Zea mays: one gene and its partners. The protein of the gene in region 1 binds, or shares a complex with, the protein of each later gene. Links are inferred from orthologs where the notes say so. Each region holds a gene or a part of one and is shown on either strand. Other genes may lie near its edges. The genes, in order: pre-mRNA-splicing factor prp45, arginine/serine-rich splicing factor SCL28 transcript II and Serine/arginine-rich splicing factor SC35-like.

The links.
Region 2: pre-mRNA-splicing factor prp45 (region 1) and arginine/serine-rich splicing factor SCL28 transcript II share a complex: the UniProt entries of both Arabidopsis thaliana proteins name them as parts of the spliceosome. The link is inferred for Zea mays from reciprocal best matches to the Arabidopsis thaliana genes SKIP and SCL28.
Region 3: pre-mRNA-splicing factor prp45 (region 1) and Serine/arginine-rich splicing factor SC35-like share a complex: the UniProt entries of both Arabidopsis thaliana proteins name them as parts of the spliceosome. The link is inferred for Zea mays from reciprocal best matches to the Arabidopsis thaliana genes SKIP and SC35.

Annotation. Positions count from the first base shown.
Region 1 is NC_050099.1:184,591,474-184,597,704, forward strand, and holds pre-mRNA-splicing factor prp45, read left to right. Parts: upstream 1-1,920; 5' UTR 1,921-2,045; coding exon 2,046-3,875; 3' UTR 3,876-4,218; downstream 4,219-6,231. UniProt on the Arabidopsis thaliana protein: Splicing factor involved in post-transcriptional regulation of circadian clock and flowering time genes. Associates with the pre-mRNA of PRR7, PRR9, ELF3 and GI, and is necessary for the regulation of their alternative splicing and mRNA maturation.
Region 2 is NC_050096.1:63,177,598-63,183,889, forward strand, and holds the start of arginine/serine-rich splicing factor SCL28 transcript II, read left to right. Parts: upstream 1-2,149; 5' UTR 2,150-2,234; coding exon 2,235-2,440; intron 2,441-3,478; coding exon 3,479-3,556; intron 3,557-4,682; coding exon 4,683-4,847; intron 4,848-4,964; coding exon 4,965-5,026; intron 5,027-5,104; coding exon 5,105-5,144; intron 5,145-5,401; exon of another isoform or gene 5,402-5,468; intron 5,469-6,292. Other genes in the region: uncharacterized protein LOC100280902, read right to left, coding at 307-1,947. UniProt on the Arabidopsis thaliana protein: Involved in intron recognition and spliceosome assembly. Probably active at the 5' splice sites.
Region 3 is NC_050102.1:175,816,646-175,823,038, forward strand, and holds the start of Serine/arginine-rich splicing factor SC35-like, read left to right. Parts: upstream 1-2,574; 5' UTR 2,575-2,635; coding exon 2,636-2,714; intron 2,715-2,813; coding exon 2,814-2,892; intron 2,893-3,061; coding exon 3,062-3,141; intron 3,142-3,240; coding exon 3,241-3,307; intron 3,308-4,615; coding exon 4,616-4,687; intron 4,688-6,393. UniProt on the Arabidopsis thaliana protein: Probably involved in intron recognition and spliceosome assembly, but not involved in alternative splicing regulation of the SCL33 intron.

The DNA of each region.
Region 1 (6,231 bases):
ACTTGTGTTGTGATATATTGAATATTGTGCTTGTATTGTGCTGTTACTGAACTGTTATGGAGGCTTCCCATCCAGAGAGGGAGAAAAATAAAACTGGATATTAAAAAAAATTATTCAGTAAGAATGTCGGCCCACACATTCTTATATGACACAGCTAGGCTAGGGACCGTGCGCACAATAAGAATGTTTGCCATGTCACTGGCCGACACTCTTAGCATAAGAGTGCCGGTTGCGTGCTGAACCGACACTCTTAACGTAAGAGTGTCAGTCCCACACATTTATACGAATAAGAGCATCCATTTCAGGTCACCTAAGAGTGTCAGTTGGCCGACACTCTTATACTAAGAGTGTTGGCTTATTTCAGTAAGAGTGTGAGTTTTTGACCGACACTCTCTGCCTTGTTTCTTGTAGTGAAAACATGCATCGAAAAGAATAGTCCTGTAAAATCAACGCTACAACTCGATTTTCCCAGCGTAGTTAGGACCTCGGCGGCATGTCAGCTGCCAGTAGTGTACCTAAATGCCAGCGTAGTTATGATCTCGGCGCCATAGGTCACGACGCTGAGCCGTGTTATCTTGGTGGCATGGTCTATGACACCGAACAAAGGGCCCAAAAACGATATTAAACCGTTAAGAATCCAAATATGTTTTTTACAAAAAATGCTAAATTGCATAAATATCAATACCCATTGATAACAAATCCCACCATATCCATTCTAATGAATAATTATCCGTGGTTATTTATCCACACGCGTACTCCACTATCATCTCTAGTTACATATAGTAGCAAACCTCTCTGATTATCCTGCTTGATGCCATAACTAGTAGCATGGTGGACAAATACGTTGAGTACTCGACCTTTTAGACATAATTTACATGCTCTCTGAGTATCCTGTTCAATAATATGTCTGGTGGTGCATTAAACAAGTCCGATGGTTATAAAGTGTATGCGATCTCTTCTTTAAGCTCTATTGGTGTCCTATTTGGTGCACCTTATCTGATGCACATGTTTTGTTGTGCATTGCCATGATGTAATGTTTAGCTTAAAAATATTGTATAAGTTATTTAATCTTATAGTTAGTAATTAATAGATTTCTATTTATATAATTGTCTAGATGGTGGATTATTGCGTATAGATTATTTAATAATCCAAATAAATATTTAATTCATAGGAACATTCAAATATTTTTATAATTAAGTCCCCGCAATTAGGGCCAGCTCTTGGCATAGGGCCAACCCGGACGGGTAGCCGCCCTAGGCCCCCAAATCATAGGTGCTCCACATCATATAGTTAATTATATAGCTAATATGAGAGCTAATGCTGAATTAAATAATCTAATTTCCGAGTTAAGAGTTTTTAGTATGTCAATAAGATAGATTTCTATTCTATTGCTTATATAAATTATCAAGTCTTATTTATTATACCTGTCATGGTGGCATCAACTGAAATGAGTTTTTCGATATTGAAATAATTGAATAACTATTTCAGATCTACAATTTTTTGAGAACGATTGAGTGGTTTTGCCACCTATACGTTGAGAAAAATATTATATTAGATCAACACAACCATTGATGATTTTATCTCAAGAAATATTAGAAGAGGCTCGATTTTTATGTTCGCCCTAGGCCCCCAAATCTCAGCTCCGACCTTGCCTACAATCCATTGGCGGACAGCAGATACTCATTTCTTCATTTTTTAAGTTCTAGAGTATAGTATTAAAATTTTGAATATTTTAAAATGTAAAAATGAGCTACCAAACCACCGAGCGCGCAGGCCAATAGAAGCCATTTCTTGCATCGACCCATTTAGAGTTTACTGGTTTCGCTTCTGAAACGGGCCTTTACAAATTGCAAAAAGCCCACTCCAGCCCAGCCCAGCCAGTAGCCGCCTTCTCAGTCACACCCTTTATCACTTTCCCCAAATTAGAATCAAACCCTAGCTTGTCCTCCTCGTCGATTTCCCCTGACCCCCCACCAGGGCACCAGGCGACTCGCCGGAACCCTAGGTAGCCGCAGATCCTACGCGCCGTGCACGCGGCCGCCTCCATGGCGACGCTCAAGGATCTCCTACCGGCGCCCAAGACGTCAGCGTCCACCTTCTACGACCACAGCAGCGACCCCTGGTTCAAGGAGCGGTACGGTGGGGAGTCGGCGCAGGCGGCCGCGGCGACGAGGCCCGCGGCCGCCGCCCGGCCCGTGCCACCTTACGGAAAGCGGACGGGGTTCGTGCCGCGACGGCCGGAGGACTTCGGGGATGGCGGCGCCTTTCCGGAGATCCACGTCGCGCAGTATCCGCTCGGCATGGGACGCCGTGATGATAAGGGCGGATCCAAGATCCTTGCGCTCACCGTCGACGCACACGGCAGCGTCGCCTTCGACGCCGTCGTCAAGCAGGGGGAGAACGCAGGCAAGATCGTCTACTCTAAGCATAGCGACCTCGTGCCGAAGATAGCCACTGCCGATTCCCAGGCGACGTCGGACGACGACGAGGAGCAGAAGCAGATCGAGGAGACAACTGAACGGACCAAGGCCGCCTTGGAGAAGGTTGTCAACGTCCGCCTCTCTGCAGCTCAGCCCAAGAATGTGCCGACTCATGATTCTGAGTCCAAGTTCATCAAGTATAAGCCGTCACAGCAATCCGCGGCCTTCAATTCAGGTGCAAAGGAGAGGATCATTAGGATGTCAGAGATGGCGGTGGATCCTCTTGAGCCACCAAAGTTCAAGCACAAGCGTGTGCCCCGGGCGTCTGGGTCACCACCTGTACCAGTGATGCACTCGCCGCCACGGCCAGTTACAGTGAAGGACCAGCAGGATTGGAAGATCCCACCTTGTATTTCAAATTGGAAAAATCCAAAGGGTTACACGATTCCGCTTGATAAGAGGTTGGCGGCTGATGGGAGGGGTCTGCAGGAGGTGCAGATCAATGATAACTTTGCAAAGCTTTCTGAAGCATTGTACGTGGCAGAGCAGAAGGCGAGGGAGGCAGTGCAGATGCGCTCCAAGGTTCAGAGGGAACTTATGCTGAAGGAGAAGGAGAGAAAGGAGCAAGAGCTAAGGGCACTTGCACAGAGGGCACGTATGGAGAGGACTGGTGCCCCACCTGCACCATCAGGTGTGCCTGCTGGTGGTGGCAGGGGAGCAATTCAGGATGTTGATGAAGTTATGGATATGGAGCAACCGCGTGAACCACGGGAATCACGTGAGCAGCGCAGGGAGTCTAGAGAAGAGAGGGAAGGAAGGATTGAGCGTGATAGAATCCGTGAGGAGCGCAGACGCGAGAGGGAGAGGGAGAGGAGGCTTGAAGCCAAGGATGCTGCAATGGGCAAGAAGAGTAAGATCACAAGGGACAGGGATCGTGATATCAGTGAGAAGATTGCTCTTGGTATGGCAAGCACTGGTGGTGCAAAAGGTGGTGAGGTTATGTATGACCAGCGTCTGTTCAACCAGGACAAGGGAATGGACTCTGGTTTTGCCACAGATGATCAGTACAATATCTACTCTAAGGGTCTCTTCACAGCGCAGTCCACGATGTCCACGCTATACAGGCCTAAGAAGGATGGGGATTCTGATGTATATGGTGATGCAGATGAACAGTTGGAGAAGGTTATGAAGACTGAGAGGTTCAAGCCTGACAAGGGATTTACTGGTGCTTCAGAGAGGACTGGCAAGCGAGACAGGCCTGTGGAGTTCGATAAGCAGGAAGAAAATGATCCATTTGGTCTGGATCAGTTCTTGACTGAGGTGAAGAAGGGTAAGAAAGCTGTGGAGAAGATTGGAGGTGGAGGAACCATGAAGGCGAGTGGTGGGTCCTCAATGAGGGATGATTATGATGGTGGATCTGGGAGGTCCCGCATCAACTTTGAAAGGGGGCGCTGAGGTATTTGCTCTGCTTCTGCAGGTTTGGAATGCTTTCTCAAATATCTTCTAGCAGAATGTCATAAGAAGCTGAACTCTGATAAGAAAGAGCATGGCTCCTGTGCTGTTATAGCTCATGTGCCTACTTTCAGTGGTTGTGCTTAAGAGTGTACTATATGGATCCTATGATGTCTATGTACTATGCGTGTATCTGTTCATTATAGGAGCTATGAGCTTCGTTTATCCATGTTCCATCAATTGTTACGAACTTACGATACATGTTATTGGGCTCTATTATTTCATCAGTTATCATTTTGGGATATGGATGGACTCAACGTGGCTATTTGTTGCCATGGTTGCTGCACATGTGCTCATTCTGTTTATGAATTTCTTGGTGGTGCCTATTAGATTATTTCTTTCTGCTTTTTATTGCGGGGATGTATTCATGGTTTACTGTTGTACTCAATAAGATTTTGCTGTGTCATGCGAACTGTGGTTATCTGTGACTCCATTTCCTAGTTCAGTGTGCTTGGTTTGAGTGGAGTCTCAGTCATGCTCTAGTTTTTGGTTGACATTAGTTTTCAGTTTTTCTGCAGTGTCCTTAACTTACCTATATCCAGTTTTTACCCTGTGAACTTGTGATACTTCAAGGTAGCTTTTATTGAATTTTAGTTATTTTCTGCCCTTATAAATATTGGGATCCTGGTTTGTTCTAATTCTCATGTAAACATTTGTTCATTTTACAAAGAAGCAAACCTTTATAGGGCAATTTTTGTTTTTTGTTTTTGATGCAGAGCTGTATCAAGTTGGTCGATCTATATTTATTGTTAAAGTTTCATGAGTTTCTTTAAAAGAGATTTAAAATTTCCTGATAATTGAGCACATATATGCAATGAATGCATGGCCGATTGCTATAACTACCGTGGACATTGCTTTGCTGTTTGCATGAGCAACAGATGATTGAAACTGGGGCAAAACGTACTTTGCTTACTGCTATCTTGTAGTAGAGTATATATGTTTCTGTGCACGCTTGCAATCAGAGATTTGATGACAGTTCCAAATTTACTGAAGCAGTATGCACACATGTTTTCTTTCCCCCACACACGGACACACCTATGATAATAATGCGGTACTAACAATTGGCTCAGAGGCTCCACCTTATGAACATTAAGACACCGTTTGGTTCAACACGTTGCCTTTTTTTTCAGTTTTACAAGCAACTTTATCAGTGAAGTTAAAGTTGATTAGCGAACCGTTTGCAAAACAGGCATACAGCTCAGTTTTTTAGTTTTACGAGCAACTTTCTCAGTGAAGTTAAAAGCTGTTTTGGTGAATCATTTGCAAGACAGCTTTGTATGTACATTTGTTCTTACAGAATCTTACAGGACCGATGAGTGTGTTTTGAAGCTGTGAAAAAGCTATTGTTTTCAGCTTCACGATATTCTATTCCTATGTGAGATCATGATTTAGGCTTCGGCATATTCTTTTCCTATGTGAGATCATGATTTAGGTTTCGTTTGGCTCACAGGACCGACGGGTGTGTGATGAAGCTGTGATAAGCTATTATTTCTAGCATCATCATATTCTATTTCTGTGTGAGATGATGAGTCAGATTTCGTTTGGCACACTTTCACTTTACTAGCGAAGCCGTTTTTTCTTTCTCCAACTTTGTGTTTTCTTCTTCAACGTCATGAATAACTTCGTGGAGTTAAAACAGTTTTGGTAAACCGTTTGATAAAACCATTTCACATGTAGCAGTTTGCATTGCAAAACGATATTCTGCACGTCTATATTTATTTGTTTGGTTAACTCTCAATCTATGTGAATGGAGTGGGATTGGGTGGGTTTAAATCCCAAACAAGTCAAAGTTTTTCTAAATTTTTTCTAATCTAATCCAATTTATATATAATGGGAATAACTAAACAAGTCCTTGCTGGGGCTGAGGGAGCAGCCAGCCCACAGAAAGCTGCCAACACGTACAAAGGGAAGAAATCAGACTGACGAGAAACAAAGAAAGACAGCCGATAGATGGAACGGAAAAATCATCCTGTCTCCGTAGTCCGTAGGAGTACTTTGCTTCGAGATGGGCCGGCATCTGCTCGTGTCTGACATGTGCTATCAAATGGGCTTCAAAAAAGGACTATCGGGCCCATCGTGGGTTTCCCTGGCACTTGGTTTTCTAGTCTTTTGTGAACCGAACCGAACGAGTGTGTGACATTTCCGCACATGGCCACCACCTCAAAAAAAAAAAAAGACGGAAACAGAGAAGAAGAATATTTCGTTTCGTGAACAAGCTGGTTTTGGGGCCGTAAATCGGCCAGCACATTTCGCATGGAGGCAGCCCCGGGTTGTCCTGCACCCGGTTTCCTTTGCTCGC
Region 2 (6,292 bases), on another chromosome or scaffold:
GAATGGTACAAGCTGACAACTATTTTGACTCTTCACCAAAAAAAAAATCTACACTGACCTATAGGAGCCACAGCACTTTGATAAGCTCCACCACAACTGCAAAAAATGCTAGAGTAAGAGCCGATTACAAGCCAGCAATAACATTAAAATTGTCTCATCTCCAAAATCTTCTGCTGGAAGGCATTTCAGCACTTGAAGACAGCACCCACAAAAAAAATGCCTTGATGAACGCATGTCTTGGGGGAGCCAAGGAAACATAACATCATTCGCAAGGCAATTGATTGCTACTGGTTGCTGACCAAAATATTATCCAGTTGGTGGGAGTAAAGATACATTGCTTGTGCACGGCTTCTCGGCAAGTACGGTGCAAGCAAATGTGCCTATTTCAAATCCAACCTTGAACATTATATTCAGGACCAGCAACACATCGTCCAATCGCCCAGAGGTGCTCAACGACTCCACCAAGTAATCAAATGTCTGTCTTTGGGGTCTTATGTTGTCCTTCAACATACCTGCCAACCATGCCATGCCCTCATCAGACAGATTGATCTTACAAAAGCCACTGATGATGTGATCGTTTGTCCACACCGGTGGCTCCAAGCCCTTGGTCCGCATCGACTTGATCAGGTCTACTGCAGCATGCACCTGTCCGTTCTCACACATGGCACATATAAGACGACCGAAGGTTGACGATGTTGGCTCCAAACCAGATGATAGCAACCACTCGTACATCCGCATCGCCAAGTCCAACTTCCCAGCTTTGAATAGGCCATTGATCAATGTGTCGTACGTGATCACATCATGCTTGATTCCCTTGATGGACATTTCCTCGAACACCTCAAGTGCGTCGTACACCCTCCCATGAACACAGAATCCTTTGATGAGAATGTTACAGCTAACAGTAGTCTGCTTGAACCCCTTCTCAAGCATTTCATCATATACCTTGCGGGCCTTGTCGAGATCACCAACTCTGCAATAGTAAGTGACAAGGGAGCAGTAGGCATACTCATTGGGGGCGATGCCCCTGCCCACCATCTCATCCCACATCTGCTGTGCAACTCCAATCAGCCGCATTTCGCATAACCCATGGATCACCGTGGTATATGTAACTCCGTCAATGTCATAGCCACGCTGCTTGATCTCTCTGAACACACGCAGGGCCTCTCCACCCATCCTCCGCCTGAAGAGCCCGTGTATGACCCGCTGGTAGATCACCTTGTCCGGGGTGCACCCGGTGGCAATCATGAGGTGCAGCGTGTCGGAGACCTTGCCGAAGTTGCCCTCGGCTGCGAAGGCGCCGATGAGGTCAGCAACTGCGTCGGCGGGCGGAGGGGACCCACGGCGCGCGGCGTCGCGGAGGAGGCCGAGGCCGTCGAGGGGGCGGCCCTCGGCGGCGTAGGCCCGGGCGAGGCAGCCGACGGTAGTGGCATTGCCGGGGAATTCTGGCGAGGAAGAGAAGGCGGAGAAGAAGCGGAAGACGAGGTCTGGGCGGGCCGCGCGGAGTGCGGAACAGGACGCGACATTGAAGGCACGGAGGGAAAGGTGGATGCGGAGGTAAGAGCTGAGGAGCTCGGCGACGTCTGCGGCGAGGTGCGGTGGGAGGCGGAGGAGGAACTTGTCGACCCCGGGCAGCGGAGGGGAGACGTTCACCGGGGCGGTGTCAGGGGCGGGGCCGGGGAGGTGTGGAGACAGAGCGCGTAGGAAGCGGAGCGATGGAGCCACGGCCGGAAGAAGGCAGGAGAGCGTGAGGCGAGCAAAGTCTGGATGGAGGAGGACGGCGCGGGGGACCAAGGAGAGGAGGCGGGGCTCGAGCCGCGGCGTGCGGAGGGCGGCGGCCGCGGCGAGGGCAGCAGCGTTTGAGATCGTGGACGAAGTCGGAGCGCCGGCGGGATCGGATGCCGTGGCGGAGCATAAGTGCCTGGCGAAACGGAGTCGAGGCGGGGGCATGGCGGTGCCGGCCGGGCGGCGGCGGCAGAGCTGACGCAAGAGGCGGGGTAGACTGTTGGAGGCGGTCTGAAGTCTGCGGTGCGCGCAAAGTTTGGTCGTGGGCCGTCGGCAAAAAGGCCCATGGGGCTTTCAATTTAGCGGGTGCTCCCATCTTTCGTTAGGATAAGAGGAACCCTAGTCCCTAGCAACGCCTACAGCGTCACGGAACACCGGCGAACCAAACCTCGGAGAAACCCTAGCAAGGCCGCTTGCCCCTCTCAGGCGCGACACAGCATCGGCGACTAGCGATGACAGGATATCGCAGCCGCAGTCCGAGCCGAAGCTACAGCCCACGGAGGCGGTACAGCCGGAGCCCTCCTAGGCGCAAGCGCTACGACGATCCACGCGACCGCTACCGCTGGGCCGGGGCCGGCGGAGGCGGGGACCGACGTGGTTACGGTCGGCCGTTGGCGCAGTCCGGTCTCCTCATCCGTAATATCTCCCTCACAGCCAGGTGAATTATCGCTGTACCCCATACATGTGGCTGCAGTTCTGTCTCGTATGACCTATGGATAACGGGCGTGGCGCCATCTGGTTTGGTCAATGTCAAGAGCCGTTAATTCTGTGATTTTTTTTGTCTGCTGCATGCAATTATATATTGTCGATTCGATTGTATGCTCAATCCTCTACCCATCTGATCGGCCTCTAATGTGTTATTTGATGGTTGTTAAATGCTATGCACAAAATAAAAGCAAACATTGAAGCTTGTTTTCAGCATTTGATATTTGCACGTAACTGTGTTTTAATTTTTCACATGGTGATTAATTGTTTGGTGGTTTGCACGCTAACAAATGTTTGATTGTAAAATGTGCTGCAACGGGATATTTAACAATTGATGTTTACTGGAAGATGTGTGCATGAATAACTGATGGAACTGCTTATCAGAATTTCTTATGAAAAAAGATAAGTTCATCTGTCATGGCAAACACATTGGGTTTTGAAGACATTCACTAAATGGGTTGATGGTGTGCATCCTTAGTCTTCTCAAAGCAGATTTGTATATCAATGTCATATATCCTTTATAGAGTGGATCGATCATGTTTAAGCCATTGTCTAGTCTTTGACAAACCTAGAGTCGGTCTGGGTTTCTATTCAATGTCTTGGTATGAGAGTTTGCCAATCACTTTAGATCATTATGAAAATATATGACTCGTTTGTTTAGGAAGTTGGTGGTCATGGTTATTTGTACTCAAGGAGCATTGGCTCTTTCACATCAAATAATCCAATCCTCTCATGTCAGATAAAAATTTGGATGTTTCTGCATCTTATTGCCACTGTATGACCCTTACGGTTTGATGGACTTTTTAACCTTGCAAACAGTTCCAGTCTATTTCAACTGCCAATAAAATGTTATAGTAAGTTGCTGCAAAGTAATCATTATGATATACCTATGTTATGTATTATTGTGATGCAGTCTGTTTTTGTGCCCTCGGATGGCTTTACAATGTAGTTAACTGATTTTGTTCTGTTATTGGATTTTCGTTGTCTGCAGGCCAGAAGATATTCGAGCTACATTTGAGCAATTCGGCCCTATCAAGGATGTTTACCTGCCAAGGAATTTCCACACGAGGTAATAATTGCTTTCTAAAGTTTTTTTTTGCCTTATGTCAAACTTCAGTTCAACCTCATGCCAACCCTGCCTTAGACTGCTTTCAACGGTTCCCGCCGACCTCCCCTACCCCTGTAGCCGTTTAGGCCAGGGGGTTCAAATCCCTACAACGGTGCCCCCTTTGAACTCCTCTACACGCTACAGTTTAAGTGGAGGCTACAGGAAACAAACAGATGTGGGGGGTGCGGCAGTGAGCCCCCTGCCCTCGGTTTACGTGTGCGGCAGTGTTTTTTAGTTGGGAAAAAATGATAATAGATGGTGAATAGGTATGAAAAATGATATTTTATGATTATAGTGGGGTATAGGGGAAGGATTTAGGGGGAACCGCTGTACAGGGTGGAGATATAGGGGGAAAGAGAACGCTGACGTGGCACGTGAGTGGGATATAGGGGGAGAAATTTAGGGGGAACCGCTGAACACAGTCTTAAGTAAGTGGTGTTTGGATTATGTGCAAGTCAACAATTTCAACTTTGATTAGATGTTACTTTTTATGAATTGCTTTATATTTCTTGGGTTTGAATATTAAAAAATGATATCGGTAGATTTGTCTTGAAGTAGTCACATAAAAATATACTTAGTATAATTTACAAGCATTGAAATGTGTTTTGGGTATTATGTTGTTGTCCAAACGACACTTATTTATGTCCGGAGGGAGTATGTGCATAGCTGGCAAACAAAGTTTTTTGAACACTGAAAAAGCGCTTAGATGAATTAAGTTGCACACCAATAATAAGGAGACCGATACACTGTTGCTTGAGTGGTCATTCCGGTGTTCATTCCAAGACATTATATTTGTTTCATCCATTTGGACATATGTGATAATGTGATAGAAATGTCAAATGGCCTGGAATTATCTCATTAAAAATTATGGTTCTTTTGGCAATAAAAAGAATCATGTTTAATATGAGGGCAAACTTTTGTTTTATCTATTCCCTGTTTTTGATAAATAGTTTCTAAGTGTATTTACCGGTTCTTTATTAAATTTGGATTGGAATGAACAGCCAGCTGTTGGAACATGGAGTATATTTGTTGAATTACAATGATTTTTTCCCTTCTTAATCCTTGGTTGAATTGGTCAATTTTACAGGGAACTTCGTGGTTTTGGATTTGTCAAATTCCGCTACCCTGAGGATGCTGCAGTTGCCAAGCGTGAGATGCATCATCAAGTCATTGGTGGGCGAGAAATTTCAATAGTTTATGCTGAGGAGAATCGAAAAACGCCACAAGAAATGCGCATGAGAACAAGAACTAGGTTCATTATTTGTTTCTTTATCCTTTGCCATGTGCTCTAGGTTGTCCTTAGCAACACTGTAGTAAACTTATACTTGAAGTAATGAAAAGAAATAAATCCGTGCTTTCATTGATGTAGTGGTAGGTACATGGATGAAAGATACACAAGACTGTCAAGATCTCCAAGGTCTCGTTCCCACTGTAAGTGTGAAGCGATTTACAAAAATTAAATGTTGCATTCTTTTGTTTTGTAAGTAAACGCTATCACTTTTCTGGCAGCTTATTCACCACCGCCTTCTCCAGTTAGGCGTGACTTCAGGTTTGAACTCAATTTTTTATTTCAAATAGACTAGTATCTTGAATTGTTGGTTGTTCTTCAATCCTATATGTTCTTTGAATGCCTCTGCTATTTTCAATTTTTAGGAGCAGTTGCATTTCTTTCCAGTTCATATGGATATAATTTTATCATGATCAAACCATTAGAAGGATGTGCCAAAGTGGTTGCATTGTTCCAAGTATACTGTTTAATTTTTCATGAACAATATTTTCATAACATGGTAATCATGGTTTTTAAAGTGGTAAGGCGAGACAAGGCGTTGGACCACCGCCTGGACGCCTAGGCGTCACCTTAAGAACAGTGATGGTAATTTTAGAACTTGTTGCTTTTATTAAAATCGGCAGTTGGAGTTGCATACTTGTGATTGCGTCAATGTTCAAAATATTATATATGCTAGAAGCAAGGGTGGATATTTAATGTATTCACAATGTATTTATTACTTGTTTATTATACCCCTTTTATGATTTAAAGGTAATACACCATAAGAAAAAGGGCAAACCCAGTGTGGGTGGCTCCCACATGAGTGGGGTTTGGGGAATGGATAAACCGAGGCAAGCCTTCCCCCGCAAATGAGGAGAGGCTGCTTAGTGAGTCAGTGAGACAACTCTCACCATCACACCTGGCCTGCCCTTCTAGATATATAATGCTCCATCCATCCCTAAATAAATCAACTTCTAGAGTTATCTTAAATCAAACTTTTGTAAGATTGACCAGCTTAATAGGAAAGAATATCAACACCTATGGCACCAATTAAGTAGACTATGAAAGTATATTACATGGTATATCTAAAAAATGATCTAGTTTTGTCATATTTCTCTATAAAATTTGGTCAAACTTACATGACTTAGGGCAATTCTAGAATTTGATTTATTTGGGAACTGAGGCAGTAGGTAGGTGTCAAATGGGTTTGTTTATCTCATTGCTGTCATCAATATAAATGAGGATCAAGCCTCTATTCTTGTCAAATAAATTGGAACTTCAGTTCCTCGTTACGTCTTGTTGAGTTCTCCAAATATATATCATAGTTTGATTGCTAAAATGTTAATCTCCCTGTATGGTTATTTTTCAATATTATATCCTTAGACTTGCTCACAAAGAAGTACTTTCAAGACTGAAAATGATTGTGGTGC
Region 3 (6,393 bases), on another chromosome or scaffold:
CTGCACGGTCTCGACGCCTGCGGGCTACAGCTCTGGCCCAGGCATGGCACGCCAGCCTGCTGACCATGTCGGGCTGACCCGTTAGCCCGTCGGACCATTTGGTTAAATTAGCGTAAAATGTTAAAATACGGTGCAGGAGGTAGGGTTCGAACCTACATCCTGATAGAAGAAGGGCAGAAGACACTGGGTGAAGTCGTCTAACAAATATAACAACATGCTTATGTGTGGTTAATATTGAATATAAATTATACATATGTATATATGATTTTTTTGTAAAATAAAAATATAATCGTGCGGGCCGAGCCAGCACTACGGGCCGAGGCTACGACCCAAGCACGACACGACGCTCGTGTCGGGCTGGCCCAGACACTATTAAATGGGTCGTGCCTCGGGCCGACCCACTAGACATGGCCCATTTAGCCATCTATACCTCCGCACGATAATGATGGTCCCCGCCTCAGTTGCCGCCACCTTGTTCGTCGTCCTATTTCTTTTCCCTCTCCCCTCATGCCTCCGCCTCCGCCTCCGCGCCACCCCATTCTCGACACAGGGCGTGAGAGCAGGTGCCTCCTCCCCATATTCATCTGACACCAGCCTTGACACCGACCCGCGCAGTGGCTATTGCACGTCCATGAGGACGTTTCACAACACGCCCACACCATCGTTTTCGCTGTCGTCGGACGTCCTGTTCGTCTTCCCGGTCTTCGCCCTGTTCTTCCTCCCCAACCTGCTGCCCCTGCCCACATTCACAGCCGCGAGCCGACTAACGTTTGTTGACGCGGGTACGGTGCGAGTCGGTCTTGTCTTCAATTTGCTTTTGCTACTCCTGTGCTCATGCTTATATAAAGAGAATTAGTTTAAAGTGGTGTGTTAGACATTTAATCACCAAAGCAACTAAAAATTGTCTAAGGACACATTTCCCTTTTAGGCTTTTTGATTTGGAAACAAGGAGGGACGCGGTAGACCTATTCCAATTTTCTAGGAGGAGACCCTTCCATGTCAATTTTTAGTTGAGGGGATAGAGATGTTCTTAATTTATGTTTGGCGCGAGGGATGGAAAGTGCGGAGATCCGTCAGGAAACTGTCAAGTAGGATCTGTAGGTCCTCCTATGTGACTATCTTCTTTGTTTCTCCGCATGGCTGCATTTGTGCTCAACATCCCGCCTCCCTTGGCCACATCCACCTCGCCCGATGCCCTGACGATATGGTTTACAATTTCATTTTTACTGTTCAAAATTTCTATTTTGACCAAAATTTGACTTTTATATATTTTTTGAATTTGGAACTGAAATATATAATTTTTCGAACCGAAATTTCAATTTTGTATAGCACTAAAAACGAAAAAACTACAAAATCTGCTAAATTTCAGCCAAAATTGCTAACCTTGCCTGACAACCTTATGGTCTTTATCTTGGTCCTTCCTCCACCATCGCCCCTACGTCTACGTCCTTAGCAATCGTACTCTCCATTTTATTCCTTTTTGAAAGCTTTCTTCATTGGCCAATACCAAAAATTAGTGAGGCCATGTTTGAAAGCTTAGTATCTTTACATTTTTAAGGCAATAATATGATATTGAATGATACTATGGTATTGGAAGCTAAAATATGTTTGATTTTACTAGTAAAACATAATTTCAATTACCATGATCTACCTAAAACTATAGTATTTTATAGTTTTGGAAACTCCACACATGTCTCGTGTCCACCCCATACCGCACTGTTATATCAGCACGTGCTAGGGAGCAAATACTAAACAATCCTCAAAATTTTTGAAAACCGTGATTTTAGTGTGGTTTTGAAAACCGCAGTACTTTTGTCATGAACAAATGTAAACCATAGTATTTCAAAATTGTAGTATCTAAAAACTTTGCTACCAATACACCCTGAATTGTATAGTAGATGTTTGAGTACAAGGGCCTATTTGGAAGTGAAGTATTTTTTTTACTTTTTAGTGAATATTATGGTTTTTTATGTTATAAGGTGTTTGGTTACATTTATGAAAACTATATTTTTGAAACCATGGTATTTGAAAAGCTGACCAAAATTATAATATTATCATTGCAAAGTATAATTATACGGAAAAACAAGAAACAACAAAATACTTCACTCTCCAAAGAGAGTCAGAGTCAGGCCAATTTGATGTGAAACAAATGAGCCTGTTTGGTTAGGACCTCCCAGACACTTGACTACCATACAAGGAATCATAGCTCTACTCAAAATCCAAATATCCAATGCATAATGTATTAATGCATGGGGCTGTTTGGTTCGTGCCTAAATGTGCCACACTTTGTCTAAGGTTAGTCGTTCGAATTGAAGAACTAACCTTAGACACAAAAGTTAGGCAAAGTGTGACAACTTAGGCATCAAACCAAACAGACCTATAATCTATGCCTCGGCCAGGCAATTTCGGCTCCAAACCAAACAAAAAAGCAGGAGTGCCTGACCACTGGCTAAAAGTTCGTATGCAAGGGGCCCACTTGTCGCACCGTGCCGCGTGCGTGCAAGCCTAGAAGACTCGGCAGCTTTTGCGGCCCCGTTCTCTTCCCCATCCCCTCTTCCCTCTCTAGCCTTCCACCCTTCATCCACCAGCCGCTCCTCGAGCACCCCCGTCCCGCGCCGCCTCCGGCTCCGGCGAGATGTCACGCTTCGGTCGATCCGGCCCGCCGCCGCCGATCCGCGACACGTACTCACTCCTCGTCCTCAACATCACCTTCCGTGAGTTCCCCTCTTCCCCGCTTCTGTTTCCGTTCTCCAGATTCCAGCTACCCTACGGGCTTTGAATTGGCGCCTCATCTGTGTTTGGGTGCCTCGCAGGCACAACTGCTGATGACCTCTTCCCTCTCTTCGACAAGTACGGCGAGATTGTCGACATCTACATCCCAAGGGACCGCCGGTGAGCGCGAGTCGAACAGGCTAAGGATGTTTCTATCTACGATTCGAGAGTTTTGCTTGCGTGCGATGGCTGAGTACCTGGTGTAGAATATGGAATTAGGGATCGACGCTCGTGTGCGTGTGTGCGATAACACCGATTTGCGAGTGCTCATCTAGGGTTATGGTTGTAGGACTGGTGACTCGCGCGGATTCGCGTTCGTGAGGTACAAGTACGAGGACGAGGCACAGAAGGCAGTTGAAAGGCTCGATGGTGAGTTTAGTTTGAGGTTCTCGCCTCTGTAGAAATCAGTGTGCTCCATGTGTGGTTTTAGATTGTATGTTGTTCAACTGTGCTGCGTTTTATTTGCAGGGAGATTGGTAGACGGGAGGGAGATCATGGTGCAGTTTGCCAAGTACGGCCCAAATGCTGAACGGATGTAAGACATCAGTTTTGTTCTCTGTGCTGTGTTTGTTCTTGAGATCTTCAATGATTAACCTAGTTCATGAGATCTTCAATGACTATTCTAGTTCTTACTTGCCATTTTAAATCCTAAATGCAGTTCTTATCGTATATTTGTTGGATAGGTACGTTAGGCAGTAGTGAGACCTTTTGCCATGTACCTCAGTACAATACTGTGTTAGAGCAAAGAGACAACACTAGTTTGTATAACACTCATAATGCTATATATATAAATGCTGTTTTAGTTTGAACCTCTGTATGGGTTTACTTGTTTTGGATTTTAATAATCAGGTATAACGTACAATTTATTTAGTCATGTTGGTTCCTTGTGCAATATTACAGCCACTTATGCTGCCACAGCATTTCTTGGTTTATCTTTATTTATTTATTTTTCTTTCATTTTGTCTTCTATGTTGGTAATTCACTAACAAGAACACAGTAAACTGCGGTTTCATTTTAGTATATCATACTTATTAAGGCGTCGCTAAAGTGTCGCTTAAGCGTTAAGGTGCGCGTAGATGGCAAGGCGTCCTGCTCGCCTTGCCCGCGGACGTAAGACGCGGTGCGGCGGTGGAGGTTGCAGGCATGCGGCGGGATGGGGAGCCGCTGGCGCCGCAGCCGAGCGTGAGTGGGGGAGGGGGCAGAAGATGGAGAACACACAGAGCACTGCATCGGCGGCGGCTGCTGTGTGGCTGTGGTGGAACCTCGGTTTGTGCTGAGTTAATGGGCTTCTAGATGGGTCACCAAATAAAAGTCCATACCATTCTTTTTTTCCTTTTTCTTTTCCACTTCTTTTTTTTCTTTCTAACATCCTTTGACAGTTTATAATTCAAAAAAAATTACTGGATTCTTTGAGTTCTGTATGTTAGGGACCCATTAAAGTGTTTTAGGACCTAATTTTGAGTGCAAACACCTCATCTTAACTCTATATTTTCCTATATTTATATATGAGTAAGGCGTCACCTCGCCTCGCCTTACGTCTTTCCGCTTAAAAGGTGAAAAGGGGATTGCTTGCCTTAACTCGCCTTATTGCCTTAATAACTATGATAAATATGACATGTCCTATTTTTTCATGTAAAAAAGTTTTTAGGGCCACATGATGAGCAGAATAAATTAGTTAAATCATCATATGTGATGTCTCTTAGGAACACACCGAGCATCCACAACTTTTCCTTTAATTGCTTTCACAGGAAAGCATCCTAGTGTGAGTTTCTCAAATATCTACTGTTGTAGCGTTAATTTCTCTGCTTTTATCGTCCATACTGAATCCTTGCATCTTTCACAGTAATAAAGGGAGAATAGTGGAGCCAGTTCCAAGACCAGGGGGGCGTTCCAGGAGTCACAGTCCAAGACGGAGGTATAGCAGCGCCATCATTTTCTGAATGTTATATGGACATGTTTTTTCTGTTCTTCAAAATTTATAGAAAAGTGATACCCACCACTGTATTTTAACTTCACTAAGACTGTCTCCAGTAGATAGGGTAAAATAGAGAACGCAGAACTGTAGATGACACTGTTTGCAAAGTGGAGTTTGAAATAAGGGATAAGATGGGTCCACGGTTATTTAGAACTATTTCTAAGCAAAGGGCTAATCGGAGAACAGTATTGGACGCTCTTTCCAATCACAGCTGGATTTCGGATATTCAGGGGGGTCTTTCAGTGGGTGTTATCAACGAGTACCTCCTCCTATGGGATTTATTAGATTTGGTTCAGCTAAGACCTCATGTGGATGACAAGCATTTCTTTCGCCTTGCTGCCAATGGAAAATATTCTTCCAAGGAAGCTTATAGGGGTTTCTTTATTGGGTCAATTGAGTTTGAGCCTTTTCATATAATATGGAAGACTTGGGCTCCTCCGAAATCTAAGTTTTTCATGTGGCTGGTCGCTCACAAGAGGGTGTGGACAGCTGATAGGTTGCAAAGAAGAGGTATGGATCATCCGGAGAGATGTCCATTATGTGATCAGGATCAGGAAACCTTAAATCATATGTTGCTGGGCTGCGTTTTTGCTAGAGAATTTTGGTTCAAGCTGGTTCTTCTTGTTAATCTACAACACTTGGCCCATCAGTCCTGTGAAGGGGTTTTTATGGATTGATGGCAAGATTTGAGCACCAAGATTCCTGGGATTGCAAGAAATGGTCTTAATTCTCTTGTCATTCTTGGTGTTTGGACCCTTTGGAAGCATCGCAATGGCTGCGTTTTTGACAATAAGAGTCCTAGTGTTGCTGTTGCTATTAAAAGTGTTGGTTTGGAGATTGATCTTTGGGTTATGGCTGGTGCAAAGAAGCTGTCTTTGCTTACTGCCCCCATCCCAGGTCTCCCTGTTAGCTAGATAGTTGTAGTGCTGTTTTGGTAGCCATGTTTTTGTCATGGATGGTTTCATTTATGCTTGTTATTGGCCGCCGTAGGGCAGCCTTTTTTGTACCATGTATCTTGGGGTCCTTTTGGACCTTTATCTCCTTCTTAATATATTTTCGCGCAGCTCTCTTGCGCTTTCGAGAAAAAAAAATAAGGGATAAGATATGGGATGAGATAGGGGATCTATTGGAGATAGCCAAAATTGTAAAATTGGGTAGTTTGTGTGTTGGTGGCGTGTACCATTGATTGGTAAGTGTCAACTGTGAATGCACTTGTCACGTGCAGCACCTGTGCGCAAAAGTCATACTCCCTCTGTTCATAGATTTATGACACCATTGACTTTTTTTAAAACTTTGACCACTCGTCTTATTCAAAAAAATAATGAGTTATCATTTATTTTTTATGATTTGTTTTATCATTTAAGGTAGTTTGTGCTTAACGTAAAATTTTACATTTTGAATAAATATTTTGAATAAGACGATTTGTCAAAGTTTTTGAAAAAGTCAACGGTGTCATATATTTGTGAACGGAGTTATTATTTCATTTTCAGAATTAGGTATAGCTTTGTTAACCCTTGTCTCATTTCCACAGTGAAGGTGAATTAAGCTGTATTCCTAAAATGGGCTGTGAATTTGTGATTTTCTGCTGTTTATGATCAAGCCTATTCAAATCTTGTTCTGTTCGTTTTCTTAATGCTGTGACTGGA